Linked DNA regions of Caenorhabditis elegans. The protein of the gene in region 1 interacts with the protein of each later gene in a pairwise test. Each region holds a gene or a part of one and is shown on either strand. Other genes may lie near its edges.

Region 1 (4,175 bases):
GCAGCTTCCATGGGTGTCTTGATAAACTTGTTCATGTTTTATCACTTTTTATCGCTTGAAAAAACTGTTTTTTACATTCTATGCTCGTCGAAATCCATCTCTAATACTTTGGTCCTACTTATCTATTTTGGTTATATTGGGCCTATTAATGCTTTGTAGGTAATTATAGAGATTCGGTTCAAGCTCAAATTTTTTTAGTTACGCCGCGATTGGATCTGACACGTTGAGCGGCTATCTGAATCAGGCAATGGGTTTCGGACTTTATTTGCAAGGTTGGTTAAGACTTTTTGAATACGCGCGCAGCATAAAATCAAACCGACCAATCAGCAACGATGGCCACGCCTACGGCACTTCTCTGATTGGTCGGCACCCACACCTCGTTGGCGCGCAAACTTGAGCGTTGCAATAATCAACTTCAGGCCCCACAACCCAACTAATGATAACCATTAACCGCTTTCTTGTGGTATGGTGTTCCCCGGTTAACACTCCAAGGTACAGTACCCGGATTACAGTAGCCGCAATGGCAATATCATGGCTTTTCACAGTTTGGTTTTCTACTCTAATTGGAATGCCAGGTTAACTTTCTACGAAGTGAAAAAACTCAATTAACCAAAAAAAAAAGAATCTCAGACATCTGCCGTTTCCCGTTCAGCTTCGACCATGTACCGTTTCCCGACTATTCAGAAAATGACTATCAATGCGTTGAGGCTTTGATAAGCTTCCTGATATATTATTTATTAGTATTGGCAGTTTCTACAAATTTCATGAATATCCTGATAGCTATCAAGTTATTCTGTCTTTCGGTGAGTTTTTAAGCCTGTAGGACTACTGTAGATTGGACTACGGTAGGGTACTGTAGTGCTTCTGTTGGGGTTTGTGAGAGAATGTTCTTGTTCCAGAAATCTTCCAAATCCCTCTCCTCTGAGTCCGCTAAAAGTCGGCGGAGGTCTAACATCAGATTCTTTCTCCAATCATGCTTCCAAGATTGGATTTGCATGGTCGACGTGGCGGTTAACCATTTATCCCTAGAATACTGTGAGATGAATGTCTGTGCGGTGCTCGTCAGTATGGGGTTTGATGTGATGGTATATGTAGTTGATGGGTAAGCTTTTGATGTCAAAGTTTTGGAAATGTGTTCTATATTTCAGATTGATAATGTATCTCTTCAACTATCGCATAAATTTGAAACCAAAGTCAACGCCGAGTACCCGGAAAACTGTGAAAGTTGGCTTGATTAATAGTGAAAATTCACTACCTCCAGTGTCTTCCTAATTCAAATAAATAAATAAATAACATCATGTTTTACCCCAACTTTGTATGTACAACTTGTTTAAAAAATCTAAAAATGTGAAAGTTAATTGGCGTTTTTTTATTTTATGTTTTTAAAGTTTTTTTTGCAAAATACTTTGAACGCAAAATTCAAAGAAAATATCCATTACCCAGATTACATTTTCAAAAAGCTTGTCGTAGCACAATCGAAATCTGATCCCTAATCCCCATGCACATTACATACGTCTATAATTATCATGCTCTATTGGAGTGGAAAAGGGGGAACTAATCTTCTCGTAATCCCTCTCTCCCCAAGGTGCTCAGTTGCCCATTTTGCTTCCCTGATTCTCCGAAAGATGGACGCTTCTTATTCTTCTTCTCGGCCAAAAAAGTTGAATTACACCTCTTACACCTCGCTGAAATCCGTTCTCAAGTTTTTGAGTGTGAAGAAAAGGTTAGTGAATAGTGATTAAGCTTGAAAATAGACTGAAGAAAAACTTTAAAAAACCCGAATTTCAAAATGAGATTTCTTAAATATTCCTCAAATTTATTCAAATTTGGAAGTTCAAAATATCCAAAAAAAAAGCGATAAAATTTGGCTAAAATAAAGGGACAATTTTGAGTATATTACAGTAACAAAAAACAATTATAAAATATTTTTTCAGAGAACAAATTCACATTCATATTCCCGAGCTCAGGTCTGTCAATGCTCTGCTACCATATGCCCACGAAGAGGTTATCCTTGATAAATTTGAAATCATGATCCAGAACAGATCATATCTTTTCAAAAAGCTTGCTGAAAAAGCCCCGAAGCCTGAAGGTGTGGCTCGCCGGCGACCAGAATATGAATATGCAGAATATAATCGCCTTTTGGTGATGGACCTTGGTCCCCCATCCCTGTTTGACATGAATGACTTGCATCATTTATGGAGACCTATGGGCAATCAGGGTCCCGATCGACTTTCTTTTGGGGACCTGGATAGTCTTGAGAAGAGACGGCTTCGGTTTCGAAGGGAAAACCGGCTTCAAGATTCTTCGGAACACGGTAGAACTGGAAATTGTGAAATCACAATTTCCGAGGAAGATGGAACGGCAATTACAGTAACCAAGGAAATTCCAGTTGACATTGCTTATGAAAAAATTTTCGATGCTTTTTTCAGTAACGGATCGAGAATCAAACTACTAAAAGTTCAATCATTTCCTGACTTTTTGATGAGAAAAGATTTGCTTACACTAAAAGTAAGAGAAATTGACTGCAGTTCAACAGCATCTATCGATATTTTGGAACTTGCTCCGTTCTTGGATCACAGCTCGCTTAAGAAGCTAACCTTGAACGTCACTAATACGAATGTTGATCTATTGATGTTGCCTCTGGTGCAGAATTGTCCAGTACTTCGGATTGTGGAGGCAGGCACCTTCCTGAGCCGTATGCTGAAAACTACTCTGCTCTCAGCTCTACAAAATCAGAAATTGGAAATCTTTCCTGATATTGTGATAATTGAAAGCTTTCCCCAGCTGGTTCAGGTAAGTTTCCACGTTGGAAACTCGCTAAGGTTTAAGCTTAAACTTAAGCTTAGGCTTAGGCATAGGCTTACCGGGTTTTTTTGTGGAACCCGGTAGATGTCGGTCGTTTTAATTTTTTTTAAATTTTTCAGAGCTGGGCCACATCTTCCCGCCCTATAGGGTCCTTAGTCCAAGTAGGCATTCGAGAAGACTACAAAGAGGTTTTGGACATTTTAGACTTTTTGAAGGAAAGCCACGGAGCTCATCCAGCAATAATTAAGAAGCTTGAGTATGTTTTTGAAGTGTTTTCAGAAAAAAAATCTATTATTTTTCAGAAATACAGATTTTTCCAACGGATTGAGCATGCTAATTGATGGGGATTTGGAGCTGGCAATCTATGGCGGAGGGAAAATTAGTGAAGAAGGACTCACCCGTCCTCAGCCCTGCAAATGGAGTCTGTGCATGGAAGTTATGAAGAGGGGGGACACGATTCCTCGTTAAATTTTTAATTCAATTATATGCAACTTCCTAAACAACAGAATTTATTTGAAAATTTACTTTTAAATTGTTCAAGTAATAAAGTTTCCAAATACCTGTTAGGTGTCGGGCGCAAAATAAATGCATGTTTTTTTAGTAAAACACAATTTTTCACTGTACTTTATTTACAATTTATTATAACCAATTGACAAAACTGAATCTCCATAGTTAATTATTTTTTATCCAAAAATCAAAAACTCAAATAGTGAACGCACTGGAATTCCCCCGTACAGCAGAAACTCGTGTGCTAGATTGTGGATCTTAAAATGTATACTATATCACTTGCAAGAGTTAACTTCCAACTCACCGTTCCATCTGAAAATTAGCTGCCCAGCGGCTTTCCGGTAAGGTGAATGAACGAAAATAACTGCAATACTTTCACCGATGCCATGAAGTCCTGAAGAATAATTATGAATCTAAGCAGCCGACAACTTACAGGTTATGTGATGCGTCCGACACTTCCCGGGTAAGTGTCGTATCAATCTAAAGTATTGTGACAGCCGGGATATGTCGGCTGCTTTTCATCAATCTTACCTGCAACGTCCACACCTAGATTCATCATTTCTTGCGAATAAAAACTAGATGTAAAAATAATTGCAACTGAGAATAAAATGAATACTGATGGAATCGAAAATTGCAATATAACATTTTTGAGGAACGTTTTTTGCTTCTTCTGAGTCTCTATCGAAACTTGATTTGAAGGTGCAACATACAAATACCATATTGTCCATGTAACATGAAAAACGCCATGACCAACTGAATGAGCTATGAATATAGGCATAAAAATAATCACTATAAATGTGGAAGTTGTTGAATCAGAGTTTAGAATCAGAATTGGAAACGTGAAAAACTCTTGTGTCGGGCAG
Region 2 (3,999 bases), on another chromosome or scaffold:
CTCACCGTCACGCTGGTTGTTACTCTTCGGAAATTCCTCTCACTTATCGTTTCCATTGTCTATTTCAAGAATCCATTTACACGTAAGATTATTATTGACTTTTTTAATTGTAAAAGTGATTAGAAAGGTTCCTGGTCTCGACACAATCGAAACTTCGCGGTTACCATACCTAAAGCATATTTTTAGAGTTTCGCTCAATTTTTCATAATTTATAATGCAAAAATTAGAACATTTTTCCTGATGGAGATCAATCAAAATATTGAAGAAAAAAAACAGAAAAGTCGTAGAAAATTAGAACACTTGCGGGTACGGTAGCTGGGAAGTTTTGGTCGTTCAGAGACCGGGTACCATATCTTTGTACCAAAATCAAATGTTTTAAAAAACGTTATGTGATTCTTTTGGTCGTAAACTAGGGCTCCATAATCTAATCTGAAAGGAAAAAAAAAGAAATACTAAAAAATCGTCTTTAGAAATCAAAATTCCTCTCTTTTTCAGCTCAACATTGGCTTGGAGCCATTCTTGTCTTTGCTGGAACTCTTGCATTTGCTGATATTTGGGGAAGTCAAACTGCCAACAAGCAAGATGAGAAGAAGAAACAGTAGATAATCACGTTCAATGTACCATGTTTCTCGACGCTTTCCAAATCCCAAAGTTTCACTGATCTGTCATTTTTCCCCGATTGCCGCTAGCTTTTATAGTGCTCATTTCTATTGCATCCTGATTCAAGTATTGTGATATTTTTTCCAAGTTTTTATAAACTATTTCAGAAACTTTAAAATTCAAACAGTGGAAGTAAATATATAGTCAACAAGTTTTATTGCAGTGAAACGAGAATTGAAAGTATTGAGGTTGTATTTAACAAAAAATCATGAAAATTAGCAGAACGAGATCGGAGCAAACTGGGGGAGAATCGGATCTATTGGACATTCTGGAATGCATCTGCTGGTGGATGAACCCATCCATCGGCTTCATCGAAAAAGTGTCCCGGTGCATTACATTCCACACCCATGTACGCAGCGATCTCCTCAACTGATTTGTCTTCCAACTTCTTTCCGATCACAAATCCCAAACATTCCATGAAATCAGTACACTCGAAGAAGTTGGCTAGCTCAATGATTTCTTTGAGCTCATCCAAAGTCTTCTGTCCAGCTTCTTTGTAGTTCTCGACGACTGTCAATTCGTGGATTGTATCATCATTTGGTGGAACATATTTTTGAATATATTCGAAGAGGAAGACACCTGCCTTCTTATTGAACGGAATTGAAAGTGGAGAAGTAACCTTGACGTTATCTTGATTCTCAAAGTCGGGGAACTGCAAAGAATTCGAGATTTAGTTTCGAAAATACTAATTTTGAATTCAGGGCTAACGTACCTCAGACTGAACCGACCGAAGAATCACTGGAACTAGCATAATGATCCCCGTATCACGTAGGGTGACTGGCTCCTCAGAGTCATTGAAGATGAGATTGATCTCGCAGGATGGCATTATTATTGGCTGAAAAAACGAATTTTTGAAAATGAAAGATTTATGAGAATGGAAAACTCCGCGCGGAGAAAGAAACAATTGGTTAAACTAAATATTACAAAAGTCTTATGAATGAATAGAAAGAAAAGATATACCAGCTGCTACGACGCTTTAAACTGTGCTCATTGTCACAATCAATGTGGAACAGTGGGAAGAAAGTCGAAAGATGTGACCTAGAATACATTGGCAAGACGTTAGAGGTAAACATCACTGCCAAGATTGCTATTGTAGGAAGAAAGGGCAATCTATGACCCTTTGTAAATTGGAAGTAGATATATATTGAACAATGTCAGATACACAATAATATCGATCACTTGGCAGTGTTCCAAATTTGCACATGTAGTATTAAAAGCAGAACATCTGGGCTGAATATTCCCATTTAAACGTTTTCAGATTAAAACAAAATTCAACTAGGAGAGCTATCATACATTTGTAAAAGCGTGAGCACTAGCCGAAATCGTCGCGATAATAACTCAGAAAAAAATCATGTGCCTTTAAAACTGAATGTCTCACTTTTTCACGGAAGTATGATGACATTGAAACTTTCAATTTGAAAGGAATAGTAAACATCGTGAGCTACGGTAATTCATCAAAATCCGGAATAACTGGAATAGGGCGAGTACCTCTGAAAATCGTGGCAACCTTGTTTCCGTGGATTTGACGTCGATTTTTTTTATTCAATTCACGGTTGAACTAATCGAGTTGATACTGTAATTTTGCATGAATCGTCCTCAATTACTTTCCTCTCTGTTGATTTTTTTGGCAATTCTGATTTCGAGTTCTTTTTAAGATTTGTGAGCACATTTCGAGAAAATCATTTTATTCATTCCTTAAAATCAATTTGAAAAAGTTCTGATAAGTATTTAATATATTACAAGGAGGTAAAAAGTGAAAGTATTGAGCTTGAATATATTTAACACAAAATCATGGAAATTGGCAGTGGGAGATCAGAGCAAATTACGAGGGGATCGGATCTATTGGACATTCTGGAAAGCGTCTGCTGGTGGATGAATCCATCCGTCTTCCTCTGCGAAGAAGTTTCCTGGTGGATTGCATTCGACTCCCATGAAAGCGGCGATCTCTTCGATGGTCTTGTCCTCCAACTTCTTTGCAATCGCAAATCCGATGCACTCCATGTAAGTGGTACACTCCCAGAAGTTGGCGAGTTCAATGATTTCTTTGAGCTCATCCAAGGTCTTCGGTCCAGCTTCTGGGTAACTTTGTTCAACAGTGATCTCATGGACATTGTCATCGGTTGGTGCAGCGTAGCGAGCGATGGTATCGAAGAGGAATACTCCAGCATCCTTCTTGAATGGAACCCTGAATGGAGCTTCAATCACCGCATTCTCCTCGGTCGCGAAATCCGGATACTGAAAAAAACGTTTATTTTTAAATCTATATTTCTCAAAAAAAAAAATCTGATATCTTACCTGGAGCTCAACAGCGCGACGGATGACTGGAAGAAGCAGGATAATGCGAGTTTCACGAACAGTGACTGACTCGTCAGAGTCGTTGAAGTCGAATTTGATCTCGCAAGATGGCATTGTTAACGGAAGATGTAGTGCAAGTTCTGAAATGATTTCGGTTAGGAAATTGTTTTTTATTGCAAGAGAATGAGGAAGAGTATTTACAAAATCAATGTTATAATTCTAGTAAATGGTAGAATGAATGTCAGAGGAATTCCAAAGATAAGCAAGAGAAAAGAAGAATATGATGAATGACTGAATAAATGCAAAAGAATGAAACTCTATGAGTATTGCGCGACGCGCTCTTTTACAAGTATAGAGAAGAAGACGGAGGGTGTGAGAGATACAACATATGACGAGGAAACATTGATTTCGAAATAGAAGGAGGTGTGCTACGCAGGATGAGTGGAGTTTATTGTTTTCCGATCGATACTGCAACCAATACATTTGGAACTTGGAACAGTGGAATTTGAACTTTCCCGATATTTCGAGTGTAGTGTAACAAGTGGATTGGAAAAACAGTGGCTGAGAAAACGGTTATTATTGTGCGATAAAAATGTTATTGCGAATGGAGCAATGAACACTTTGGAAGATAGACAACGGTAGATTTTTAATATTCTGGAAGGAGTAGTAAAAAGTTCTTTTAATTATTCGGATAAGTCTCGAGAGGGAATTCACATTCATGTAAAAATGTTTTTTCTTGAATTGGGAAACTAGAGTACTTTCAATAGATGAAGTTATTCGTAGAAATAAGAGAAAATAGTCATATTTGAAAGATCCCAAAGATCGAAATGAAAAAAAAACTTATTTTTCAGTGGAATAGAAAAAATGCGGGAATACAACCAAATAATTCAATAAAACAAGAGTTTTGTCTCATTGAGCATCAATCCATTCAAAATGCATTCATAAATTTATTAATACAATTAAAAAACTGAAAAATAATGAGAAAATTCGAAGAACACATAAACTTGTGGAAAATCAACAAATTATTTGATTGTCCGAGAGTAC

What was found.
Region 2: the proteins of fbxc-53 (region 1) and F15B10.3 interact in a two-hybrid assay, tested with the Caenorhabditis elegans proteins (one large-scale study listed by BioGRID).

Annotation. Positions count from the first base shown.
Region 1 is NC_003280.10:3,709,681-3,713,855, forward strand, and holds fbxc-53 (F-box C protein), read left to right. Parts: upstream 1-1,610; 5' UTR 1,611-1,625; coding exon 1,626-1,723; intron 1,724-1,934; coding exon 1,935-2,793; intron 2,794-2,924; coding exon 2,925-3,061; intron 3,062-3,107; coding exon 3,108-3,273; 3' UTR 3,274-3,367; downstream 3,368-4,175. Other genes in the region: srx-110 (7TM GPCR serpentine receptor class x (Srx) domain-containing protein), read left to right, coding at 1-155, 199-272, 420-575, 631-803, 900-1,102, 1,149-1,272; srh-100 (Serpentine Receptor, class H), read right to left, coding at 3,508-3,569, 3,617-3,706, 3,844-4,175.
Region 2 is NC_003282.8:6,600,776-6,604,774, reverse strand, and holds F15B10.3 (BTB domain-containing protein), read right to left. Parts: upstream 2,100-3,999; 5' UTR 2,096-2,099; coding exon 2,039-2,095; intron 1,521-2,038; exon of another isoform or gene 1,496-1,520; coding exon 1,373-1,495; intron 1,313-1,372; coding exon 917-1,312; 3' UTR 800-916; downstream 1-799. Other genes in the region: nstp-2 (UDP-xylose and UDP-N-acetylglucosamine transporter), read left to right, coding at 1-82, 496-602; sup-36 (SUPpressor), read right to left, coding at 2,500-2,895, 2,956-3,069.